7 linked regions of the Canis lupus familiaris genome follow. The protein of the gene in region 4 interacts with the protein of the main gene of each other region in a pairwise test. Links are inferred from orthologs where the notes say so. Each region holds a gene or a part of one and is shown on either strand. Other genes may lie near its edges. The genes, in order: ZNF202, DLGAP2, ZGPAT, KRT40, MTA1, CCDC185 and MXI1.

Region 1 (3,500 bases), on a different chromosome or scaffold from region 4:
CTGGGGATTGGAAATGCTGCTCAAGAGAGGGAAAGCGGGACATTATGATTGGTTCAGCAATTCCCTGAGTTAAGAGCAGATCTTTGCTGTCGGGTAGACTGTATAGAACAAATGGACAGCCTGGTCAGTGGATCAAATCTGGTCTTTTTAGCTTGAGCACCTCTCACCAAATCCTGCATATTTCTTGCCCTTCGTCTGCAACTCAATAATCAAGGACTGCTAATACTCCCTCTTTTCCCATATTCAAGCAAGCAGATCATCCTCAACCTCTCAACCTCTATTGCTTGTTTCAAAACTCACATGCTACCTCAAATACACTAAAGCTGTAACATAACTTCACTTTATTAGAAGTTTCCAACCACTTTCTAGGCATCTCTTCCCTTTAACTTGGAAAGATATTGTCTTCCTTAGCTAATCCTTCAATCTCACTGGTGGGGCAGGCATAAGAGAAGCGTGGTGCATACAGTCTAAGGTCTAAGACTCCCACAATTTCCAATAGGAGAAAGACCTCTGGGCTCAGAACACTCTAGAAACACTTGAAATTCCTTACACAAAGAGACCACAATTCCACAGTCTTCTTCCAAGACATATTCTCCATAGAACTCTTTCTGTGCTGGATCCAGATCGCTCCACTGGTCCTGGGAGAAGCACACAGCCACGTCCTTGAAAGTTACCAATCCCTGAAACGACACAGACTTCAGTTGTAACAGGATGCTTCCTGAAGCTCCTAGTTCATTCATGGAATGAAGGTTACTCCAGAAGACAAAAGGAGCACACACAGGACCCTGGGGGCCTTTTGGGAAACCTGCTGCACCCTTGGCTACTGCTCCCCGACTTCCTACTTTTCCATTTCCAACTTCCTCCTCTGGACCTCTCAGTTCCACTGCTTTCTCTCAGGGCCAGCCTCTGCTCTTCTTCTTGAGCATATTGGTTAAAATATATAAGAAAAGTCTTAAAAGTCCTCATTAACTCCCTATTTGATGCTTTGATGCCACCTACATTTGTGCAAAAATTCACCTTTTCTGGAGAGCTCTCCCTAACTGACCTCCAGCCACCCCCGTCACCTACACGGTCGGCACAGCACACACAGGCCCTTCTGCCATAGCGAGACTATAACCCAAAACCACAGATGTGTTCTATTCCTTTCCTCTCCAGTCTCAGTTTAGTGTTGGGGCCCTGACCATGGTGAGAGCTTCCTACGTGGCAAGGCCTGAGTGCAGTCCCTGCCAGTGGACACCACACAGTTCCAGAAGTCATTTCTGCAGCAGACAGCCATTCTTACAAATGACTATCAAGTTCACTACCATAAAACAAAAACAAGCCCTCATTCGGCAACTTCTGGGTTGTAGTGCAGTGTCGTAGAAGAACCCCGTAGAAGAACCCCTTTGGGCAACTGCGTGGCTCAGCAGTTGAGCGTCTGCCTTTGGCTCAGGTCGTGATCCCTGGTCCCTGAAATCGAGTGCCACATCGGGCTCCCCGCAGGGAGCCTGCTTCTCCTTCTGCTTATGTCTCTGCCTCTGTCTCTCTCATGAATAAATAAAAATAAACATATAAATAAAAGAATCCCATTTTGTTCATTTTCCTTCTCTGGTGCAAATAGAGGCTCCGGAGCCTGCAGATCCAACTGAGACTGTTGTAATTCCTCCCATTGGATGCAGACACGTCTAGAACTGAGAACCTAAGTTGGCAAAAGCAGAGTAGAAATATGTGTCCTATCCGACCTGTTCAGTGTACAGCTAATGCCTGGTGGTTCTTCGAATTCTCTGTGGCACAGACATGGACAGAAACTAGAGCACACCTGTGAAAGAGCTGTAAGAAGGGCAACCATCTCTGGGTTTCCGGCATTCCTCTCTTCAGGAAGGTCTGGGTCCTGGGACACTGGAACCTCTACGAAGAAAAGGCGGCAGAGATGAGTGATGTGCAGCGCACCCCTGTAACTGGCAAACAGCTCCCATCCTCTTTGGTAGGAATCAAGAAACTGGTCTAAGGGCAGCTCAAGTCATCCCAATGTCACCATCTGGAACTCTACTGAAATGCCAAGAGGACACCCAAGGATTGGTTGGCTCCTTGACCTTGGCCCAGTTTCTGGGGGAACTCTAGCTACTATTGTCTCAACACCCTGAATTCTATGATTTATTCCCACTCTGCTCCACCTAGCCTCCTTCATAGGCGGGAAACATCCCCATTCCCACACTCTGCCTGCCACTTTGCCCCCTTTCTGTTGAGGCTTCCCACCGCTCTCCCGCAGGGGCTGGAACTCCAATTCATGGCATAGGCTCTGCTCTTCTGGTGGCCTCAGATCTGGGCTCTGGATGGTCTCCTCACGGGACGCCTCAGGAGGCAAGGTATGCACAGGGTTCTGCAGCTCGCAAGGTGACTCGGGGTCTGCTCCTGGATGTATGGTCTCCTCCGACAGGACCTCCTGGCCATGAACATGGACAGTCACCTGGGAATAATTCCAATTTCCAGTCAGCATGGAGTCAAGAGGAAAGTCTCAGTTGACAACAGGGCTTATTTTAGGGAAAGCTACCAACAGAAACACTCTCAGAGGATCCCAGGAGAGGATGGGAGTCTCTGGTTCCATGGAGGCATGCAAGAATTGTTGATGGTTATCCTCATTAGGACAAGGCAGGGACGTTTAGATGCTTCACGGCTTCCTCACTCCCCTCAGCCTACTCCTATCACCCATGGCTCTGAGATACCGGTCCCTCCCATGTCCACCTCTCCCACCTGTAGCTCTCCTTGTGGTTTGCTTCCCTGTCATATTGTCCTGGGAGGGGGATTTGTGCCCAAGAGTCTAGAACCTTTGAGGAAGTCACAAAATTGGCCTCCCCAGGAACTGGAGGTTCGATAGCCAAAGAAAGGAAAACCAAAGCCATATGACCCTAGAGTGCTAAGGGCCCTAAGATGGTCCTTGGCAGGTGTTTAAAAAACCAGAAAGTCACACTCACTCACTCACACACACAGACACACACACACACACATCCCTGCCCCTAATGGATCTAGGGGCAACCCAAGAGCAGAGCCACTTAGTTTTAAAGGGTAAATGATGGGGACTCTGTATGCTCTACCCCCAAATCCATCCTTCCAGCAAATAGTCCCCCTCCACGTCACACAGATCAGGACTCCCCCTCCTCACCCACCGCCTTGGTCTCCTGGGTTGTTTCTGCAAACCCTCCACCAGCGTCACTGCCTCCTCGCCACTCTCTGGCCGTTGGCCCCGCACCCAGCTCTGCAGTTCTCCAGGCAAGACAGTAAGGAATTGTTCCAGCACAAGCAGCTCTAGGATCTGCTCCTTTGTCCGTCTTTCTGGCCTCAGCCACTGATGACAAAGTTCTCGCAGTCGAATGAGAGCTTCTCGGGGGCTTGATGCTTCCTGGTAGCGAAAACGCCGGAAGTTCTGGTGTGAGGTCTCAAGCACAGGGTCATCTCTCTGTAAGACAGACTCTGGCCTACAGGTGAAATCATCTTCCAATTTCACCATCAGAATTCCCTCTTCT
Region 2 (3,500 bases), on a different chromosome or scaffold from region 4:
TTCTGACACAGAGAGCCGAGGCTTGCGGGAATACCACTCTGTTGGCATCCAAGTGGAAGACGAGAAGCGGTAACTCAGCCCCTTCAAAATAGACAATGTTCCCAAGCAGGAGCGATCCGTTAGAACCTGATTGCAAATATCTAGATCATGCTGACCATCAATAATTCATGTCTTGTGGAAACAGGGTCATATATTTATACTTTTCAACTTATCGTACAATTATGAATTAACATCCACCTGCGTCTTGTTTTTGCAAGAAGCAGGGGAATAATTATTTCCAACATAATTTACCACTTATGAAAGCAGAGTTGCTGACAGCCCTGAAAGCCAAAGTTCTTCATCCAAAGGAGGAACAGATGGGCTTGAGGGTGAATCAGATGAGTCTCCTTACCTGATGATGTTAAAAGTGAATGAAAGAGAAGAAAGAAAGTGAAAACCTTAGCTACAGCATGATTTCAAACCAAAACATACAGGGGTGCCTATTACAGTAATGTTATCTTTGTCACAAGGACAGGGTGATTATTTTATATTTAAAAGATATATCTTGTAAATTTCATAAATAACTAATTTTAATGAGAGCACCGTTACATCTGCAACTTCAGTTAGCGTCTAGTTGGCAAAGCCCCGGGTGACATAGCTCATCGTGGAGGGTTTTAGGACCCAGCCAATAAAGATTTTGATTGCAGAGAAATTCAGACCAGAAACTAATGGCTTCCCAGGTTCCCTGTAGACCACTTAGGATGCAGACGGCTTCTGCATGGGGACCTGGGCTTGCTGGCCTCCGTCGCCATCACCAGCTTCTTCTCCCTTTCCTTGCCTCCAGCAAAGACACTAAGTGGCAGACTCATTAACCAGCTGCACACACAGCTGTTGCCAGATGAGGGTTCAGTTGGTGAGAAGCCAAAATGTATACTTCAGGTTCATTTGGATGCCCCCGCCCCCACCCCACACATACAGTTCTCACCCAGTGATATCCGGACTCCAATTATAAGCCTTTTCCTGCCCATCACTTCAGTAACTGTGTGGGAACGGGTGGCCTTCCAATACACGGGATGGAAATGTTTTTAAAACACCTGCTAAAGCTGGAATTTGGATTCCTTATTTTGCACAAGAGACTTAATGGGGATGATATGAAGTTATTCCAATAGGAGAAGAGACTCATGCCCTGAAATGTGTCACTGAAACTCAGTAGGGTACGGAAGCCATTTACATAAAAGGAGCAACACAGCCTTCCTGTTACCTGGATGCAACACAGGGAAGTTTTGTGAACTTGCAGTGTATTTGTAAAGGGCAGTAACTGTGCGAGGCAGGGGTTTCCTGGAGTACGTCACCCCTATGGCCTCCTGCGATGCGCTTGAGGTTAAGTGGGCATTTTTTAGGCCTTGAGACTTAGGTAGATGTCAGAGGTTAATCATTTGCAAAACCCAATGTTCTTTCATGGCTGAAACACCAAAATTGTAGTAAAAAGATGAAAAGTTTCCTCTTTCCCTTGAGTTATTTGTTTGGGGCAGCGCAGGAGTATCGCGTGTGAGCTCGGGGAGGGTTTGCTGCACAAAGTCAGCTCAGAAAGTTCCATTCCTTTTCCGTCTCTCCTCCGCAGACACGGACGTTTCAAGCGTTCAAACAGCGTGACAGCCGCCGTGCAAGCAGACCTGGAGCTGGAGGGCTTCCCCGTGAGCACCGAGGACAAAGGGCTGCAGTTTGGTCCCTCCTTCCAGCGGCACTCGGAGCCCAGCACGCCCACCCAGTACGGGGCAGTAAGAACTGTTCGGACCCAGGGGCTCTTCAGTTACAGAGAAGACTACAGGACCCCCGTGGACACTGCCACCCTGCCCCCTGCAGACCCCTGGCTGGAGCCGTCCATGGAGACAGCGGAAACCGGCAGGATGTCCCCGTGCCGGAGGGATGGCTCATGGTTTGTGAAGCTGCTGCACACAGAGACGAAGAGGATGGAAGGCTGGTGTAAGGACATGGAGCGAGAGGCAGAGGAGAATGACCTCTCAGAGGAAAGTAAGAGCACAGCCTCCCCTCGGCGTATGACACGGGTCCTGGGTCAGTAGAGCAAACGGGCAAATGGCAGTGTGAGTGGGAGAAGCCACCTCTGATTCTTGGGTTGATTAAAACAAACGTGCTTCCCACCGCATCCCACTCAACTCCCAGAAAACAGATAAGTAAGTGAACAGAAAAGCAACTGCCAAAGCGTCCACAGGGATCCTTTGGGGGTTTATTAGCTCATGAGCCTGACAGGCGCTGACTGTGGCTCGGTGGGTCCTGTACCTCTCCCCACGTACCCATTCTCCTGAATTCTGGCAGTGACTTGACGTGGAGTGTTTCCACGGGTTTCTAGAACCTTTACTGTCCCATGTGTACAAGGAATTGAGTTGGTTTTATTTTTTTAAAGTTTGATTGATTTATTGATTCGAGAGAGGGCCTATGTGAGCTGGGGAGGAGCAGAGGGAGAGGGAGAAGCAGACTCCACACTGAGCAGGGAGCCCACTAGGGGGCTCAATCCCAGGACCCTGGGATCACAACCTGAGCCCAAACCAAGAGTTGGACTTACCTGACGGACCCACCCAGGTGCCCCTGAGTTGGCTTTATGCCAGGGAGAGGTTGGAGATGAGCAGAGATTGCTCCGGCCCTCCTGGCCCCATGCTGAGCGGGAATCCCTGTGACGCCCCAACCTGGGGCCCACAGGGCAGATCTGCTACAGCGCGTCTGGCTCTGAATGTCTTGACCTAACAGATCTTGCTCCCTTTAAAGTATTTTTTCTTTTTTTCTGTGAATTCCTTTGTATATTTGCTAGGTTGCTATGAATTCTCCATTTCTTTTTTTTTTTTTTTAAGATTTCATCTATTTATTCATGAGAGACCCAGAGAGAGGCAGAGACACAGGTAGAGGGAGAAGCAGGCTCCATGCAGGGAGCCCGATGCGGGACTCGATCCTGGGACCCCGGGGTCACGCCCTGAGCCAAAGGCAGACGCTCAACCGCTGAGCCCCCAAGATGCCCCTAAATTATCCATTTCAAGAGGATAGGTGACATCCTTGGGAATTGTGCCCTGACATTATGTGTCGAGATGGCTGCTGTGATAGAACAACGTGTCAGTCATCCTACAAATGGAAACACAGAGATGAGTTTACATGGGCTTTACATAGCTTACGGAGTAAAAGGCTGCAGGATCCATAAATTAGGAAACTAATTGGTGTGTTGCTCTCTAGCTGTTAGGACTTACGGTGCTAACCTATGAAGAGAGAAATTGCCTTTAAATTACTAATTATCTTTCCCCACATTTCTCTCTTAATCATCAAATTCCACACGTTGTTTACCTGGGTAGATATTAGACCCTGAGTGGTTTGGAGGGGCCATTGCCGTGGCGAAGAATTTGAACCTGCTCCCCAGCGGGCTGTGGCCGATGGGTGTCTCAGACTGTCCACATGCATTTGTCCAAATTTATTATCTGTTTAGGGTACATTTAGTGGGGTGGTGACTCACCGTTCTGATA
Region 3 (3,500 bases), on a different chromosome or scaffold from region 4:
TTGGTTACAGCAAAGGGGTAACTTCCCAGCTTCCTACACACCAGGCTGGAGACCAGCAGTGTCCCAGCTAGTGAGTTTCTCATTTCAGTTATTGACTTTTCACGTCTGTTGTCTTGTTTTTACGTATTTTCTTTTTTTTCTTTTTATATATTTTCTATTTATGTTTTAAGATTTATTATTTCTTGAATCATTGTCACATTTTCATTTAGTTCTTTGAACTTACCACAATCTGCTTTGAGGTCATGGCAGATTTTGGCACTTGGACCCACTGAGTCAGATTCCATTCACTGCTTTTTTCTCCTAAATATGGGTCCCACTTTACTGTTTGTGTGCCTGGTGAGTTTTTATTGAAAATGGTACATTTCAGGTAATGTCTTGTAGCAGCTCTGGGATTTGAATCGTTTTCTTTAGTATTTTGTTTTCTTTTAATATATTTTCTGGACCTGGATTACGAAGTCTGTCCCCCCTCATAGTGCGCAGCTTCTGATATATCTGCTTAGATCCTTAAATTTATATTTACTTTTTGACCTGGCTTTTTAGGGGTCCCTTCTGTGTCCGTGTGGCTTCGTGGCCAGGCAGTGATGTAGGCAGAGGTTATTTGCAGCCACTCTTGCCCTCAAGGCTTCTCCCCATCAGTCAGTGTGTGTGGGCCGGGGGACACATTCCATGTTCAGCAGCCCCCATCTCCGTTCACGTGACGCTGGCCGGAGTCCTGACTGGTGCACCTTGTTTCCTGGAGAACCAGGGTGTTTGGGGGGGTGGAGCCCTTCTATGGTCGTTCCATTTTCTGGGTATCCCTGTGAATCGTAAGTGACCACTGAGCTGGGCTCACGGCCTCAGGGCTGATGGTTTTCCCAGGTCTCATCCCTGGTCTCACCCCTGCCATACTGCTCCTCGCGGGCACGCGGGGCATGTCCCCCACTGTGAAGCCACAGACATTCCCACCTCCCATTCTGTCCCAAAGTTGGGCAGTTTTTTTTTTTTTTTTAATTTTATTTATTCATGAGAGACAGAGAGACCAAGGCAGAGACACAGGCAGAGGGAGAAGCAGGCTCTATGCAAGGAGCTCAACGTGGGACTTGATCTCGGGTCTCCAGGATCACGCCCTGGGCTGCAGGTGGCGCTAAACCGCTGGGCCACTGGGGCTGAAGTTGGACAGTTTTTCACAAATAATGACTAACCAGTGTGTTGTCTGTTTCATTCCATTTCCAGAGTTCTGATGCTGTGAGTTTGGACCATTTTGCTTAGTTTCCCTGTTTTTCTCTACTTGGCCACAGCTGGAACTCAGAATATAGTTCTAAGTGCTTGTTTTCACATTCTAGTTTTATTCTAGAGTGTATTATTTCCATCCATGACTGTTGTGAGGTAGGTGACTGAGTTGGTTTGTCCTTTTTTTTTTTTTTTTTGAAGATTTTATTTATTTATTCATGAGAGACACAGAGACATAGGCAGAGGGAGAAGCAGGCTCCTGCAGGGAGCCTGATGTGGGACTCGATCCTGGGACCCTGGGGTCATGACCTGAGCTGAAGGCAGACACTCAACCCCTGGGCCACCCAGGCATCCAGTGAGTTGGTTTTTCTTTTTTTTTTTTTTTTTAAAGATTTTATTTATTCATGAAAGATACACAGAGAGAGAGAGGCAGAGGGAGAAACAGGCTCCATGCAGGAAGCCCACTGTGGGACTCGATCCCAGGACTCCAGGATCACGCCCCCGGCTGAAGGCAGATGCTCAACCGCTGAGCCACCCAGGCGTCCCTGAGTTGGTTTTTCAATACGGGAAACCAGTTTCTAATCTTTTCCTTATGGAACCAGCAGTCCATCCTTTCCTGACCGGTGTGTAGAATTTCCTCCATCACATGTGAGGTTTTTCATGTGTGTGTTACTCTTCCCAGGTGCTCTTGCTCATTCTATTGATCGCTTTGCCTGTTCGTTTTAGTTTTAAGTTCATTTTATGGATATGCCTTTAACTATTCCCCGTGGTTGGAAACTTAGGTTATTTCCAAGTCTTTTGAATTTAGTTACCATCCTTTGGGGCAAATTTTTGCATACTTTCATTATTATTTTTCTAGAATCAGTTCTTAGGTGTGTTTTCCTGGGTTCAGAAGGATACCAGATTTTCAGGCTTCTATTATCACTGGATATTCCTGCAGAGAAATGTTAATTGGTGGTTCTGGAGGCATGTGTCTGGGGGCGTGTGCTGAAGTGGGTATTTGGTTGAACTCAGTCCTGGGTGTAGCCCCCCCCCCCCCTTTTGGACCCATTGTCTTCCTCCTTGGCTGAACGAGGATTTTCAACCAGAGTCACCACCGCATTTGGAGCCCAGTCTTGGAGTTGCTGATGCAACTACTTGGGCTCCTACTTGGTCGTTGGCAGTGTCCTGAGGGCCTGAGGACCATCAGGTGTGAGAACAAACTGCCCAGAATCTTGCCAGGGGAGGTGTCTGAGGCCATCTTTGTCCACCCATAGGAGAGGACCGAAGCCCTTCCTTGGCGTTCCCATTATCACCACCACGTCCCGCCTGGAAGGGCTTGCCAGGGCCAGCGTCAGCTCTACGTCACCCAGGAAATGCCAGACCCTCGTTGCTCTCGTAGGGTTAAAACGGTTTCCTCTTTGAAAGGCTGGCACGGTAGAGGGGATATGTGGTTAGTCTTTTATGCCTTTATTTGGCAGAGTTGAGCTTGTCATTCTTTGTCCCCACATTTCTTCCTCTTTCTTTGCCTCCTCTTCTCCCCTCCCCTCCTCTCTCGGTTTTGGTTTTAATCTCACTGGTTCACTGACATCTAAAGATCAAGGCATCACTGTTACAGCTGTGTTCTCCTACTTGATTTGGGAAGGACTCGGTCCCATAAGCGCACACGCACAAACACACCCGCCTCGACGATCTGTTTGTGCCGGGGGGCTCCCTTCTGGTGGAGAGGCGATGGGGAGCTTTCGTCACATGGTTGTCTGCCCACCACATTGTTACTCTAGCCCGGAGAGCTGGAGGGTAATGCGAGGCATCTCATCCCCAGGGTAGCCAGGCCCATCCCAAGAATGAGAGAGTGTGCACACGTGGACATACGTGCCTGTTTGTGTGCAGGGGTATACGTGTGCATGCCCCCATGTATGTGTATACGTGGGTGGGTGTGTATGCGCGTGTGTCCGTTTGTCCGCCGTGTCTCCCTCCCTTTGGGCTGATGCCCAGGCAGGTGGACTGGGTTCTCCTGGGTTCACTTGCCCCAGTGCGCTGTGTCTGAGCCCCTGCTCCCTGCGGCTGTCTTGGCAGGTTCTCCCATGGGCAGGTGGTCTCTGTGGATGAGCTGCGCCCCTTCCAGGACCCGGACCTGAGCTCCCTACAGGCTGGCTCTGCATGTCTGGCCAAGCAGCAGGATGGCCTCTGGTACCCCGCTCGGATAACTGGTGAGGCTGCCCACGGGCCTCTCAGCCGGGGCCCCTCCTGGAGAGCCCTGTTCCATGCCCAAGAGGAGCGAGACCACCCTTGACCTGGGCCCTACCTTCCTT
Region 4 (3,583 bases):
ACCACTCTGTGACTTTCTTTACTCCATTTCCTCTTTCAGGAGGTTGACTTGCTTCGTGGACAGTTGGGTGACCGACTCAGTGTAGAGCTGGACACTGCCCCCACCATCGACCTCAACAGGGTCCTGGAAGAGATGCGTTGTCAGTATGAAACCGTGCTGGCCAACAACCGTAGAGACGTGGAAGAATGGTTTGCTGTTCAGGTCAGTACCCAGAGCAAGAAAATGACAAGCTTCCAGACTTCTGCCTTATTTGCATCCTCTAATCATACCTGGTTTACAGACAGAGGAGCTGAATCAGCAGCAGCTGTGCAGCGCAGAGCAGCTGCAAGACTGCCAGACAGAGATCCTGGAACTGAAACGCACAGCCAATGCTCTGGAAATTGAGCTCCAAGCACAGCAAAGCCTGGTATGTAAGGGAAAGACAGCTCTGTTTTTGTCACTGAAGAATTAAGCCCTGAGATGCTAGTCCCTCTTCCATGAACCCAAGGAGAGATCCACAGTTCATGTGGCAGAAAGTCTGAATTTCCAATATGCAAGGATTGTATTCTTTGACTTACCCAAATACTGCTGTTTACTGAGCTAGAAGCAGAAGTGATAGGTCAACAGTCTGTACTGTCCCAACAGGATTCCCTGACCTTCCCTCCTGGGCTTGAGCATGATCCTGCAGCACCTTCCAGAGACAGAAAAAGAACAGGAGGGCAGGAGCAGAATGAGAGTGGAACCTCTGAGCTGAAGGCACTGAAGCATTCCAGTGGGTTTTAATTGTGCTTTGATTTGGGCCAACTTCTCAAACTCAGCATCATATAAAAGAATAATATTCAAACTTTGCATTCTTCCACTACCCTAAGCTTTTCCAGGATCCACACCTCAACTGGACCCTTCACTCCACCCCATTTCACCCAGCAATGAAAATACTATGCACTGGGGAGCCTGGCTGGCTCAGTCAGAGGAGCATGTGACTCTTGATCTCAGGATCATGAGTTCAAGCCCCATGCTGGGCATAGAGGTTATTTTAAAAAAAAATTTTTTTAAAAAGGATACCATGCATTGAAGATCACATTAGCCAGTTCCAGTCAGACACCACTGTCTGTGCCACATTGGGGCCTATAGAGACTATCTGGGTGAATAATAGCTACATATTTATCTTGTGAGAGGCTTAAACGCCTCATAATAACTTGATGGGATAAATCCTTTTACTAAACCCATTATCAGATGAGGAAGACTGAGACTCAGATTAAGTAGCAGGGGTCATGCAGTTGTTTTTTTTTTTTTTTTTTTTTTTTTCATGCAGTTGTTAAGAGGCAAAAGTGGAAGCTGGATCCAGCTGGTTCAATCCCAGAGCCTCTTCTCTGAACCATTCTATATGGCTCTTTCCTGCCCCAAGTCCATACTCAACTTCTCCCCTCAAATGCTGTTGATCTTCCTTAATATATATTACAGGTTGTGATGGGCAAGTGGTGATAGTAATAACTAACCCTTGCACAGTTTTGAAATTTTTTCCAGGCACTGTTCACAGTGTTTTACACATATTAATTCATTCAATCCGCACAACCATCCTATGAAATAAGTACTTTGCATTGGTCATTTTTTATAAAATAAAACAGCCTCAGAGAAGCTAAGTAATTTTCCCAAAGTCACATAGATGCACTAGGGTAGATCAAGGATTTGAAAACCAGCACTCTGGCCCCAAGGACTATGCTACACAGCCCTTCTGAATATACTCTTTTTCTTCTGCAGACAGAGTCTCTGGAATGCACTGTGGCAGAGACGGAGGCCCAGTATAGCACCCAGCTGGCCCAGATGCAGTGCCTGATTGATAACGTGGAGAACCAGCTGGCTGAGATCCGCTGTGACCTGGAGCGGCAGAACCAGGAGTATGAGGTGCTGCTGGACACAAAGGCTCTGCTGGAGGGTGAGATCAACACATACCGAGGTCTCCTTGAGAGTGAAGACAGCAGGCAAGTTCCACACGATTATTCTCAAAATCCCCCAAGTCACAAAGAAGCTCATGCAAGAGAATCTTGCCTCCTCAAGGTCTGCCCAAGGTGAAACCTCCCTCATGTGTTAAATGATCTCCTTACAAGAGTAAAAAGACAAACAAAACAAAACAACAACAACAAAAAAAACAGCTGAGGCTAATCACATGACAGTAGAAGTATTCAAAAGTATTCCAAAGTTCTAAAGCAGAATAAGTATCACATACAAAATTTCATGCTGGGCGTCCCCCTTTGTTCCTGACTTCCACCAAAGAGAAATCAGGAACATGCATAAGATAACATTTGCAAAGTGAAATAAATACACAAAACTGTGTATTCAACTGGCACAGGGGCAGTGAGCATTCCTAGTGGCAATGCTGAATCTAGGCCTGAAATAGGCTTAGGTCAAATGCTACTCTGCAAAGAGTGTTCAGAACATCATTTGCAGGGCAAATTTTGGCACGATCTTTTCTGAGTTGAAATTTTACCTGGATTTCCCTTGTTAAGCTTACTTCAAAATTTCCACAGGCTTCCTTGTAACCCGTGTTCTACAATAAGCACATCAAGCAACACTTGTGAGGCATGCTCAGCGTATCTGATTTGCACGGTCGAAAACTACTGTGCATGAATGTTCAACCCTCGGCGCAGTGGATAGAGGAGTCAAAGCCAGCAGTGTCCTGGAAAGGAGATGGGACTTCAATCAGATGCATCCAAATCTAAAAGTCAAGAAGGGGTTTCTACCCTAAATTTGTCCTCTAAACATCCCCATTATATTTCTGCTTTGTCATTTCCTCTCCTGCCTGCTTATTAGTGATATTCTAGGAGTCTATAAAGCTTTCTTGCTAATCTCCAAATAAAATATGTTTCATTCCTTTAGCATGGTAAATATAGCTTTGTGGCTTATAACTGTGGATATAAGAACCATGTGATGCCTAAACCCATGTCGATAGTTTGATTTTGCACAAACCGAGGCTGAAAATAGTTTTTAACTCCTCAAATACAAAAGTTTAACTAATCCATGCAAAATGTCATACATCTTGGAAGACAGTTGTATGTATCTTTCTAAGAGGAAATTTAAGAATAAATGTCTTATTTGTAATTATAAAAGTACAGGATTCCATTTTTTTCTCAATTTGGCACATGAAAGGGGAAAAAATTAGTTACAATTCCACCCCCAAACACCCGTTATCAGTATTTTGGGAGCTTCCAGCTTTCTTTCATATAATAGGTTTTTCCACATAATGGAAATCATATTTACATATGCACATAGTTGAGTAAACTACTTTTTTCACTATGTCATGTAAGCATTTTCAATCCAAATAAACCTATAAGATTGTCCTGTGACTGTTATTTTAGTGGCTACATAAAATACCATAAGGTTATTGGCCTGTTATTGGACATTTGGGGTATAAGAATAATTATTCATACACATTTAAAAAGCAAAGTGGAGAACTCCACCTCCAAAAAAATGAAATGGATGTACATTTCCTCATTCCTCTTCCTAAGTCTGGCTGAAAACCAGGGAAATTACATATAAAAGAAATATAAGCAGATTCTGAAAGGTGGAAGAAGCCAAACCAACTAGAATCATATTCAAGGAACAGCAA
Region 5 (3,500 bases), on a different chromosome or scaffold from region 4:
AGGCCCCAAGGGTGCCAGGGTCCGGGCCGGCCCAGAGCTCAGCTCCTGCCCGCGGGCTGCCCGGGGGCGCCTCAGGAGGCCAGCTGCCGCTGCTTGCAGGGCTTGTGGGTGGCGCCAGGGCTCCTGGGGGAGGCGCCCAGCAACGGCGCCCTTGGGACCCTCATGCTTGGACCCGAGCAGATGCGCAAACATGTCACTTTGGACAAACCGATAGAAGCAAATTAACTTTATCCACCTCGCTCGTTAATGGCTTTTTGCAAACAAAGCCCCAAAGCACAGCAAAGATACCTGCTAACTAGCACCAGGGCCCGTGGCAGGCCCTGTGGGGGGCTGACCATGGGGGGCTGACCGTGGGGGGCTGGCGGCCAGGAGGCAGGAGCCCCCACGGAGGGGCTCACGAAGAGAGACAGCCGGGCACCGGGGGCCTAGGGCAGGCCAGGGGGCAGGGCCCAGGGCAAGGCGAGGCCAGATGGCCACTGCCTGCTGCCCCTCGCAGGTCCCCATGCCTGGCCCACTCCTTGGCAGCAGCTCCCCAGCCCTGTGTGAGCAGGAACTCTGGGCACGTCTGTGCTCGCTGGCCCGCACCATGACCCCGAGCCTCTGTCAGCAGGGCCTCTGACCTGCTTCCCCTGTCCCTGCCTCCCTTCCACACGGATCCCGCTGCGGGCGGACGCTGGGGGGCCAGAGCCTCCGGGGCCCACAGGCCCCTCGCTGCCACCACGGCCACCCCTCTTAGCACCTCACTGTGGCGCGGTCTCAGAGCCCGTGGATGCCCCTCGCCCAGCTGAGGGGGCAAAGCCAGGCCCTGAGCCACTGGGGCAGTGACTGTGCACTGGCCTGGACGATCAGGAGGCCCGCTCCCGAAGCGCCAACCACCGGGGCACTGGGTGGCGGCAGGGTCCCATGGCCCCTGCTCCCCCCCGCCAGCCTCCCCCCTTCCCCTGGGCGTCCGGCCCCACTCGGAGCGTGCTGCCTCTGCTCTGGGACACCTGGCCCCGCGTGCCTCCCCGTCAGGCCCTGGCCTGGACATTCCCTTGGGCCTTGCGTGCCTCCCCCAGCCCTGCCGGCCAGGCCCACAGCTCGGTCCTATCTGCCCCCACCAGAGAGGCCGGGGTCCCAAAGCCCCCCCCCCCACGGCAGGGCGCACAGGAGGGTCGTAGGCACAGCGCGGGCAGCCGCGGGAGCAGAGGCTGACGGCATGCAGGCGGTCACAGCGCGACGGCAGACAGTACAGGCAGGCGGCGGGGGCACCAGGGCTACACGAGCAAGGACAGTCCACTGACCGGGCACTGGGCCGGGAAGGAGGGGACACCCCACGAGCCAGAGGCCCCGGGGAAGGAGACGGCGTTCGGGTGCGTGCGATGGGGGACCCGTGAGGCCGCACTTGGCTCTCTGCCCAGCGACAGGGGAACCGGGGGAGCGCGGGGAAGCAGGGTGCGGCCCGGCCCGCGTGGACTGGCCCCTGGGCGAGCCCTGAGCCGCCCGCCGTGCACCATGCACGCAAGGGTACAGCACACACAGGCAGCGCACGGGGGCTCGCGCAGCAACCCTGCCAGCGGCCGCCGCAGGCCTTACCCCTACTGGGCATCAAGAGGCGCTTCTTCATGTTGCCTGCCAGCGCCCGACGGCGGGAGAGAGAGGGAGAGAGAACACCATCAGCGGGCGCGGGCGAGGCAGCGACAGGGCCGGCCGGGCACCCCCAGGCCAGCAGGCCGCGCCGGCCCAGAGAGGAGGCCCCGCCTGGCCGCCCCGCCGGAGACTCACCGTCCACCCCGTTGTGCTGCTCATAGCTCCTCTTGCCCAGGATGGTGGGGGAGCCGTTGTTGATGACGGGGGCCGACTTGGCCGGGGTCAGGCCTCCGAGCACGCCAGACACGCTCTTCACGGGGTCGGGCTTGGGGGGGCGGGGGTGGGTCTCTGTTGGGAGCAACAGCGGGGGCTCACTGTGGCTAGGGAATGGCTCGAGCAGCCCCCGGGGCCCATCCCGATGGAGGTCGACCACGGGGCCGGCCGGGGGAGCACACCGCCGGCCCTGCCCATCAGGGTGTCCGAGGAGCGGGGAGAGCGAGGCAGGCCTGGGCCCCACAGATCACTGGGTGACTGCCAGCAGCTTCCAGGCTCCAGACACAGGCCCATAAACAAGCAGGCCCATCAGAGGTGTCTAGGTCCAGGCCACCGGAGCTGATGGCAGCAGGCTGGCCGCCGGCCAGGTGATGAATTAACTGCCAGGCTGGCCCAGCCAAGGCCACGCCCCCCCTCAGCGCCGGCCGGCCGCAGGCTCAGGCTCGGACCTGCCAAGCAACCCCCCCGGGCCCCGGTAGCTCTCAAGATGGGGCAAGGCCCAGCCCCCCGACCCAGACCCTAGACATCTGATGACGCCAAACCCACTTGTGTCCACGTGGAACGCGATTAGGTCATGGTTCTGGAATGTCCTTCACAGAAGGTCAGCCACCTCCACGCTGGAGGGACTGACTCACGATCCCGCCCTGAGCCCAGCACAGGGGCCAGCTCCCTCCTGCCCCCAAGCACCCTGGTGAGCCCCCAGGACAAGCCGCCCATGGCTGGCTGAGCAGTGGGCAAAGCCGAGCCCAGGGGTGCCAGCCGAGGACCCCCCCGTGGGCTGCAGACCAGGCATGTGTGCTGCTCACGCGGCAATGGGCCGTCCGCTTGGGCTGGGGGTGAAGAACCATCCTGCAGGTGTCTGCAGTGGATGCCCGAAGCCTGTCCTGAGTCCGTGCGGCCAAACCCTGGACCCCCCCCAGGCCCCCCTGGACCCCCCCAAGCCCCCACGCGCTGCAGCAATACAAAGCAATACAAATACAAATACGTGCCGGGGGCCACGGCAGCTCAGGCCCCAAGGGCCCCTCCAGGCCTGGCTCGGTGGCAGCACGGAGGCCGGCTCCCTCCCTTGCAGGCGCCCGCTGCCAGGCTGCCCACGCGGGGCTGGGGCGGGGCAGGCTTACCTAGGTACCGGAGCACAGCTTCCAGGGGCTTCCGCACGGCCTGCTTCAGCACCAGTGGGCTCTGGGAGGCTTCGGGCAGCCGGGCCGTGCCTGTGGGGGCCCGGCACACAGAAGGGAGCCCGGGGTCAGAACCCCCATACCCGCCAGCCGCCCCGCACACTGGTGAGCCCCTCCTCCGAGGACCGAGCCCGGGGCTGGGGGGCGGCACTCACACTCCGCCTTGATGGCCGCGCTGTTGATCGGCATGTAGGGGTGCCGGGCAGCGTGCCACGGGCGCAGGATCTCTCGGCACAGGCGCCGGGCGATGCGGGTGAGCTTGGTGGTGTGCAGATAGAAGGCCTGTCTCGTCTTCATGGCAAACTTGGGACTCCCGCTGCTCCGGGCTGGGATGCCGTGGGGGCTCTGCGGAAGGGGGCGCGCCGCCCCGACACAGCGCCATGACCGCGGGCCGGGCGCCCGGCCACGCGTGGGGGCGGGGAGGGGTGCCCACTTACCATGTTACTGCGGTTTGGTCCTGGCCTCTCTCCATCTAACCGG
Region 6 (3,619 bases), on a different chromosome or scaffold from region 4:
AGGGCCCCTCCCCGAAGTGCATCATGGCCTCTCCAGGCGGAACCACCCCCGGCCCCGGGGCCAGGCCTGTCCACCGCCTCCTGTCCCCCGGCCACCGTCAGGCTTACCGACCCCCCACCGGATTACTGCACAGATCTCCTCCCCGGCCTTTCTCCCCGATTGACCGTCCATACTGCTGCCGGCTGAGTCCCGAAATACAGGCCCGATCGGGTCACGCCGCACGGACACCTGGGCCCACACAGGGGACCCCAAGCCCCATCCTCCTCGTGGAGGCGTGACCAGCAGGGCGGACACTGATGCCAGCATGGGGCCTCACCCTCATCCTGCAAAGGACCCTACGCACCTCGCAAAGGCCGGCCCCCAAGGACCAACCCACGGGGTGTTTGGGCCTTGATCCACTAGTGGGGCCCGAGGGCGGTGGGCTCCCAGGTCAGGGACACAGCACCCCCAACCCCAAGCGCACGTCCTGAGAGGCGCATGTTGACGTGGACAAAGGGGTGAGTCTGAAAACCCCTGCCATGGGCCAGGTGACCTCCAGGGTCTCAGGTTTGTCTTAAGGACTTGTTATCAATCCTATAGGCCCTGCCTGGTGGGATTGATGCGAGGTGGCCAGGAGATGCGGGTGAAGGGGACAGCAGGACCCCTGCTCATCCCGCTCCTCTGCAGGTGGCCGTACCCGGAGACTGAGGCCCAGACAGGCCTCCCCACTGCACCCCCAGACAGCAGGACACCCCGAGATGCTCCGCATGGAGCCTGCTTTAGAACTGCCCTAATTCCATTCTTTTTTTTTTTTTTTCATTCTTTTCTTGAGTTAGGAAATCTGCAGAAACTTCTGCAGACCCCTATATTAACTTCAGTTGAAAACAGGCAAACAAAACACACAGGGGTGGGCTTGCTCCAGCGCAGGAGGCAAGCCTGGAGCTCTGCAAACCTCGGAGGCGTGGCCCGGCCCGTGCCCCCCACCATGCCCGCAGTCCGCGCTGCGGTCTGCCTCCAGCCAGCTCCTTCCAGGTGCACCTGTGCCCCCCCAGTACCCGGCACCCCGCGGAGCAGCCCCTGAAGGCCAGGCCCCCTCCCCGCAGACCTCGAAGGCCAGCCCTCTCCCCCGGCAACCCACGAAGGCCAGGCCCTCCCACCCTCACACCCCCCCCCCCCCCCCCGCAGCCCCCAAGCCCCGCTCCCCTCCCCAGCCCCGGAAGGCCAGGCCCCCCTCCCCCACCCGCAGCCCCCTCCCCCTCCCCTCCCCCACCCTCGGCCCTCCCTCCCCCACCCACAGCCCCCTCCCTCCCCTCCGCCCGCACTCCCCGAGGCCAGCCCCTCCCCCTCCCCCATCCCCCGCAGCCCCCCCTCCCGCAGCCCCGAGGCCAGGCCCCCCTTTGTGAAGTGGCCGCCGCGTCACAGGCCCGGGTGGGGCTCGGGAGGGGCCGCGGCCCGCGGGGCGCACAGGGGCGCAGCATGGAGGGCCTGGGCCTGGGCCGCTGCTCCCCGCGCTCGCCCCTGCGGGGGTCCCCTCGGGAAGCGGGGTGCCCCGACTCGCCCCTGGAGAGCCACAGCCTGACCCACGTGGCCGCGAGGGTCCCCGCCCGCGCCAGGAGGCCCCGGCCCCCGCCCGCGCCCCGCCCGCAGCCCCGGGGGCCCCCGCAGCCCTCCCCGGCCACGGGAGACCCGCCCCCGCCCCTGCCCCCGCCCGCCGGGAGCCTCGGGGCGCAGCGGGCGCAGAGCGGGGACCTGTGGGCGGGGCGCGCGGGGGGCGCGGGGCGCTGGTCCCGGGCCTCGGGGCTCCCGGACGAGCCCTCCGTGGCGGCCTGGGGGGTCCGGCCGCCGTGCGCCTGCCCGTGCGCCTGCGGGAGGGCCGCCTGCGAGCCGCGGGGGTCCCAGGGCAGCCGGCCCGGCCCGGCCGCGGGGCCCCGCGCAGACCCCCCGAGCGCGCAGAGCCGGCAGGACCCGCTGCAAGAGGCCGCGGCGCGGCCCGGGGACCAGAGGGCGGCGGGGGTGCTGGCGCGGCTGCAGAGGGCCCGGCGCATGCGGGAGCTGCAGCGGCAGGCGGCCCCGGAGGAGCTCCAGTGCTCGGGCCACAGGGTGCAGGCGACCCTGGGCCGCCAGCGCGGGCGGCTGCTGCAGGAGAGCCCGGAGAGCCCGGAGAGCCCGGCCCAGTGGCCGCAGCAGGAGCCGCGGGGCCGCGGGCCGGACGGCCAGCCCAGGGGCAGCGCCAGGTCCGGACACCCCGGGGAAGCCCCCGCCTCGGAGGCGCAGCCCGCACCCCGGACGCAGGGCCCCGAGCCGCCACTGCAGGAGCCCCCCGGGGCGGTGCAGGGCCCGCGGGAGCAGGATGGGCCGCAGGTCGGGATGCAGGCCTGTCCGGGGAAGCTGCCGGCACCAGAGACCCAGGCCAGGGCCTGGGAGACCAGCCTCAGCTCGCTGGTCAACCACCAGGCGCGGAGGGTCCTCCTGGACTGCCAGGCCAAGGCCGAGGAGCTGCTGAGGAAGCTGTCCCTGGAGCAGAGCTGCCCGCAGCCCCTCGACAGCCAGCACGAGCCGAGGACCGGGCCACAGAGGCCACAGAGGCCGCAGGAGCAGCTCAGGCAGGTACAGCCGCACGCAGGGGCCACCGAGGTGCAGACGCGGGCGCACCAGCAGCTGCTGGCCCAGCTGGCCGAGCTGGAGAGGTGGCCGCCCAGGAGTCCGGAGCACAGGAGCGCCAGGGACAAGGGGCAGCACAACCCCGAGCTGAGCGTCCCGCGGGAGGAGCTCCGTCACATCCTGAGGCTGACAGCCAAGAAGGAGGAGAAGGGCCACGTGGAGGGCATCATGGAGGGCATCAAGGAGGCCGTCAGGAGGAAGGAGCAGAGGCTGGAGCAGATCTCCCGGGAGAGCGACGCCGCCTTCCAGGAGTTCCAGAAGCTGTCCTGGGCCTCGAGGAGGGACCAGGCCCGCGCGCTGGCCACCAGCCTCCTGGAGCAGAGGCCGCTCAAGGGCCCGCACGGGGCAGGGCCGCAGAGGTGCTGAGAGCGGGGCGCCCGGCGCCGGGGCGAGGCAGAGGCGGGCACCTCTACGCCCTGCAGAACCGGGTCGCCACCAGCACAGGTTTCAGAAAATATATAAAATACCTGCACTTTCCACTCCTGAACTCGCTCGTTGATTCATGCCGGGACTTGGGAGGGCTGGGGGTACACACGCCGGGATTTTAAGAAAAGGCCTTGCCTTCCTAAGTTTCAATTTAAATAGAAAATACTCATTTCGCTGTCCGGTAACCTTAGAAGCGCACATCAGGCCCCTCCTTGAGGAACTAGAGAAGAATCCACAGGAGGGGATTCAGATCCAGGTCCTAAGTCTTTGGCCATCCCAGAACTCACACATTATAACTGGTATTGGGAACGGATGCTCTGAGGGACGGAAAGTAAAATAATCACTGTGACGTGAGGTGTGAAGTCACAGGAAACCTCCAAGAAAGAAGAGATTGTGTGAGTGGGTGAGTGGGAGGCTCTCTGCAAACAAGTGGTCTGGGAACCCTGCACACCACGTGCCCTCTTAGCTGTTTCTAATGCACCTGAAGGTTTTAAAGGCTCTGAAAAGGCCTGCAGTAAAGAAATTAATGGTGAAACCTAGTGGTTGTCACAAA
Region 7 (3,500 bases), on a different chromosome or scaffold from region 4:
GGTGGCGTGCGTACTACCACTCCCGGTGTGCTGTGGGAGGGGCGGGACTACATTTCCCAGGAGGCACAGGAAGGGGCGGGACGGGGCGGGCCTCGGTGCTGCGCCCGCCCCTCCCCCGTGCTCGCGCGGAGAGGTAAACAAACCGCGCGCGGGCTGCCGGCGGCGGCGGCGGGCGCGGCGGGCGCGGGGGGGCCGGCGGGGGCGGCGGGGGCGGCGGAGAGCGCGCCGAGCCGCGGCCGGGCTGGCCCGCCCGCCCGCCGCACATGTCCCGGGGCGGCGCCGGCCTGTAGCCGCCTGCGGCGCCTCCTGTCGGTCAGGAGAGGGAGCGCGGAGAGGCCCCGGTCGCCACCAGCGGTGCCCATGGAGCGGGTGCGGATGATCAACGTGCAGCGCCTGCTTGAGGCGGCCGAGTTTTTGGAGCGCCGGGACCGAGGTAACGGCCGGGCGCCGCTGCCTCCGCCGCCACCTGAGCCCGCGCAGTCCTCGTCGGCGCCAGGAGTGCGGTGCGCCGCGTGAGGGGAGGGCGGGTGCGTGTGTGAGAGCAGGGGTGCGTGAGGAGTGTGTGTGGAGGGCGCGTGTGAGGGGAGGCGCGCGTGCAAGGAGGCGTGTGTGAGGGGAGGGAGGGTGCGTGTGTGAGGAGCGGTGCGCGTGCGACAGGTGCGTGCGTGAGGAGGCGGGTGTGTGTGTGAGGGGTGCGGACGCGAGGAGGGGGGTGTGAGGAGGGAGCGCGCGTGAGGGCGCCCGGAGCCTGCGAGGGGCGGGGTGCGGGGGAGGCCGCGCGGGCCTGTGCGGGCGGGTTGGCGCGCGTGAGCCGGGAGGACTGGGAGGGGGGAGGGGGGCCGAGCCCAGGGAAGCGGGTGTTAAGAGTGGGCGCCAGCCCGAGGACTTGGGAGGAGAGAGGGAAGAGAGAACTGAAGGCACGGGGTGGCGGCGGCGCAGGTAGGGGAGAGCAGCCGAGGCCGGGAGCAGAGGGGGCAGTGCCTGCTGAGGAGCCCGCGGGGAGGAGGATGCACACCTCTGGGGAAGGGACCTCTGAGAAACGGAGCCTGGAAGAGACGTGAAGAGGCTGGGGAGCGGAGAGTAGGAACTCTGGAAATTACGGTGTCAGGGGAGAAAATGTCGTCCGAGAGGAGGCAGTTGGATGGTTTGAAGTAGGTGAAAATGGGGACCTTGGCGAGAGACCTAGGATGGGGAGAGTAAGTTAAAGGGGGATTTTGAGGCCGGTGAAGTAATTGAGGTGGATGGTAGCTAGCCTCAGAAATTAGTGTATTTCAGTCAAGAATTCATGGAGAAAAGGGTTTTGGAGAGGATGGAGATATTTCTTAGAGGTTTAGAGGAAGTATCTGTACACCTTTCAGGTAATGGGGTTGGGTCTGTATATAATGTCACAGGATCGATGTCCTGGCAAGGACTGAGAGTTTTATCTTCCAGCCAAAAAGTGGAAAAATACGACCTCCATTCTATCTGCTATTTTCTGCAACACATTGCTGCAATGACTTTAGATCAGTAGATCCACGGATTTGGGTATATTCCTGTTACCATGTCTTTTTTTCTTGCTATCTCTTTAGAGTGTGAACATGGCTATGCCTCAACGTTCCCCTCCATGCCGAGCCCCCGGCTGCAGCATTCAAAGCCCCCAAGGAGATTGAGCCGAGCACAGAAACACAGCACCGGGAGCAGCAACACCAGCACTGCCAACAGGTAGCAAGCTGGGGAGGTTTAGAAAAGGCTGCTGAGGGAGGGACCACACACACACGCAAAAGTGCAGGGGCTACCGACCTCAGTCCTCTAATATGGAGTCTGGAGCAATGCTGAATAGCCAGCCGAGTTCCTTTACCACCATCCCTGGACATTTGGCCCTATTAAATTCATCAAGTCTAGATATCATAACCTGGCTTTGTGTGGAAGGGAAGGTGTAGAATCCAGAAAGCAACCAAAGAGTTCTTGCTGGGGGTTATTTAATTTTTATTTATTTATGATAGTCAGAGAGAGAGAGAGGCAGAGACACAGGCAGAGGGAGAAGCAGGCTCCGTGCACCGGGAGCCCGACGTGGGACTCGATCCCAGGTCTCCAGGATCGCGCCCTGGGCCAAAGGCAGGCGCCAAACCGCTGTGCCACCCAGGGATCCCTTGCTGGGGGGTTATTAAGTGGGGAAGTCTGTGACTGGAGAGGGTCAGTACCTTGAGAGACTTGATAGCATGTGTCCATGCATGCAACCACATGCCAAAAGTAATTGAGCCAGCTTTAAATTTGGACAGTCCAAGAAGAATTTTTGAAAACCAGAAATAGCTCAGGCAGGATGTAAAGCAGAATCAAGGGTTTTGTTAAAGGAATAAAAATATTTAGTTAGAGTAGGAAGTTAGTGGGCATAATCTATTTGTTTAAGAGTGAAAAGGAAGACCATGCTAGGAAAAGTTGTCTCTTATTTGATAAGATTGAGTTGGTAAAGGAGCTTTAAAACACACACACACACACACAGAAAAAGAAAGACGCTTATTTTTTAGGCCAAAGAGATCCCTAGAAAATGGATGTACTCAGGCATTGTTGAAAACTTCTATTTTTTGAGAACTTTTGGTAGTGTCTGGCTGTCTTTTCAGTATTTTATCCCAGGGGGCCAGAGAATTCTAAGGCTTCAACTCGTAGGAAGTTCTCAGAAGGCCATCTTAAAAATCAACAGATGCTGCTGATTTTTGCTTTTTCCATTGATGAGGAGGAATTCAATGAAGCGTTTTTCTTGATTCCCAAAGCTTTATTTAGAGAATGTGAGCATTTATTTTGGAGAGGCACAGAGCAATCTCTGGGTAACTAAGGTCACCTGAAGTGTTTGGGAAACTCCAGGCAGGTCACTGGGGAGTCACTTGGGGAAACAGGTTGGGAGAGAGCAGGACTAGGGGCTCTTACTAATATTTGCAGGAAATTTGAGGCTTCTACAGATAATAATTAGAGCTCCAAAGGTTGGATCTTCCCACTCTGCATTTTTGATATTGCTGAGGCAAAACTAGGATTCACTCGTCCCTTTTTGACTAATCTTTAAAGCCATGTGTTTCCTTTTTTTGGTTTCTTTGTTAGGACTGTTCGTGTTTTTTAAGTTTAATTTTTAAAATTATAAAAATAGTTATAAGCTTAATATGCTGCATTTATGTTTATGTGTGGGTCTAGAGGATTTTTTATGGTATGATAGGTTTAGGATGAAAATATGTAATACAATCTGCAGTATTTAAAGAAGTAAATATAAATTTTCTCGTTCTTCACAGTTTCTCTGGTTAAGGTGTCAGCAGTTAGAATCTATATCTCAAGAATTCATGGCTTTTTCAGTCCACATGTAGATTTAAAAAGGCTTTTTTTTTTTTTTTTTAATTTAGAGGCACGCAAAGATGGAAAACCAGACCTGGGTTTTGTCACGCTACAAGTATTTACTGAGTCTTTCCTATTTTGTAGAAATCAGATAAATAATCTTACTACATTTTCTTTGTCCTTCATCTCATCTATAAAATGAAGGA

Evidence for each region.
Region 1: the proteins of KRT40 (region 4) and ZNF202 interact in binary tests that used the Homo sapiens proteins (3 or more experiments, as listed by UniProt). The two-hybrid records come from large-scale screens. The link is inferred for Canis lupus familiaris from reciprocal best matches to the Homo sapiens genes KRT40 and ZNF202.
Region 2: the proteins of KRT40 (region 4) and DLGAP2 interact in a two-hybrid assay, tested with the Homo sapiens proteins (2 studies listed by BioGRID). The link is inferred for Canis lupus familiaris from reciprocal best matches to the Homo sapiens genes KRT40 and DLGAP2.
Region 3: the proteins of KRT40 (region 4) and ZGPAT interact in binary tests that used the Homo sapiens proteins (3 or more experiments, as listed by UniProt). The two-hybrid records come from large-scale screens. The link is inferred for Canis lupus familiaris from reciprocal best matches to the Homo sapiens genes KRT40 and ZGPAT.
Region 5: the proteins of KRT40 (region 4) and MTA1 interact in binary tests that used the Homo sapiens proteins (3 or more experiments, as listed by UniProt). The two-hybrid records come from large-scale screens. The link is inferred for Canis lupus familiaris from reciprocal best matches to the Homo sapiens genes KRT40 and MTA1.
Region 6: the proteins of KRT40 (region 4) and CCDC185 interact in binary tests that used the Homo sapiens proteins (3 or more experiments, as listed by UniProt). The two-hybrid records come from large-scale screens. The link is inferred for Canis lupus familiaris from reciprocal best matches to the Homo sapiens genes KRT40 and CCDC185.
Region 7: the proteins of KRT40 (region 4) and MXI1 interact in binary tests that used the Homo sapiens proteins (3 or more experiments, as listed by UniProt). The two-hybrid records come from large-scale screens. The link is inferred for Canis lupus familiaris from reciprocal best matches to the Homo sapiens genes KRT40 and MXI1.

Annotation. Positions count from the first base shown.
Region 1 is NC_049226.1:10,746,051-10,749,550, reverse strand, and holds part of ZNF202 (zinc finger protein 202), read right to left. Parts: coding exon 3,140-3,500; intron 2,447-3,139; coding exon 2,236-2,446; intron 1,888-2,235; coding exon 1,799-1,887; intron 681-1,798; coding exon 551-680; intron 17-550; coding exon 1-16. UniProt on the Homo sapiens protein: Transcriptional repressor that binds to elements found predominantly in genes that participate in lipid metabolism.
Region 2 is NC_049258.1:30,702,103-30,705,602, forward strand, and holds part of DLGAP2 (disks large-associated protein 2), read left to right. Parts: coding exon 1-69; intron 70-1,600; coding exon 1,601-2,010; intron 2,011-3,500.
Region 3 is NC_049245.1:48,110,382-48,113,881, forward strand, and holds part of ZGPAT (zinc finger CCCH-type with G patch domain-containing protein), read left to right. Parts: intron 1-3,264; coding exon 3,265-3,398; intron 3,399-3,500. UniProt on the Homo sapiens protein: Transcription repressor that specifically binds the 5'-GGAG[GA]A[GA]A-3' consensus sequence. Represses transcription by recruiting the chromatin multiprotein complex NuRD to target promoters.
Region 4 is NC_049230.1:21,662,831-21,666,413, forward strand, and holds the end of KRT40 (keratin, type I cytoskeletal 40), read left to right. Parts: exon of another isoform or gene 1-39; coding exon 40-201; intron 202-269; exon of another isoform or gene 270-280; coding exon 281-406; intron 407-557; exon of another isoform or gene 558-670; intron 671-1,737; coding exon 1,738-1,958; exon of another isoform or gene 1,959-2,076; intron 2,077-2,464; exon of another isoform or gene 2,465-2,504; coding exon 2,505-2,604; 3' UTR 2,605-3,083; downstream 3,084-3,583. UniProt on the Homo sapiens protein: May play a role in late hair differentiation.
Region 5 is NC_049229.1:73,174,746-73,178,245, reverse strand, and holds part of MTA1 (metastasis-associated protein MTA1), read right to left. Parts: coding exon 3,458-3,500; intron 3,366-3,457; coding exon 3,176-3,365; intron 3,054-3,175; coding exon 2,964-3,053; intron 1,918-2,963; coding exon 1,765-1,917; intron 1,612-1,764; coding exon 1,576-1,611; intron 1-1,575. UniProt on the Homo sapiens protein: Transcriptional coregulator which can act as both a transcriptional corepressor and coactivator. Acts as a component of the histone deacetylase NuRD complex which participates in the remodeling of chromatin.
Region 6 is NC_049259.1:24,499,196-24,502,814, reverse strand, and holds CCDC185 (coiled-coil domain-containing protein 185), read left to right. Parts: upstream 1-1,455; coding exon 1,456-3,006; 3' UTR 3,007-3,119; downstream 3,120-3,619.
Region 7 is NC_049249.1:21,816,743-21,820,242, forward strand, and holds part of MXI1 (max-interacting protein 1), read left to right. Parts: exon of another isoform or gene 1-26; intron 27-215; exon of another isoform or gene 216-360; coding exon of another isoform or gene 361-433; intron 434-1,568; coding exon 1,569-1,701; intron 1,702-3,500. UniProt on the Homo sapiens protein: Transcriptional repressor. MXI1 binds with MAX to form a sequence-specific DNA-binding protein complex which recognizes the core sequence 5'-CAC[GA]TG-3'. MXI1 thus antagonizes MYC transcriptional activity by competing for MAX.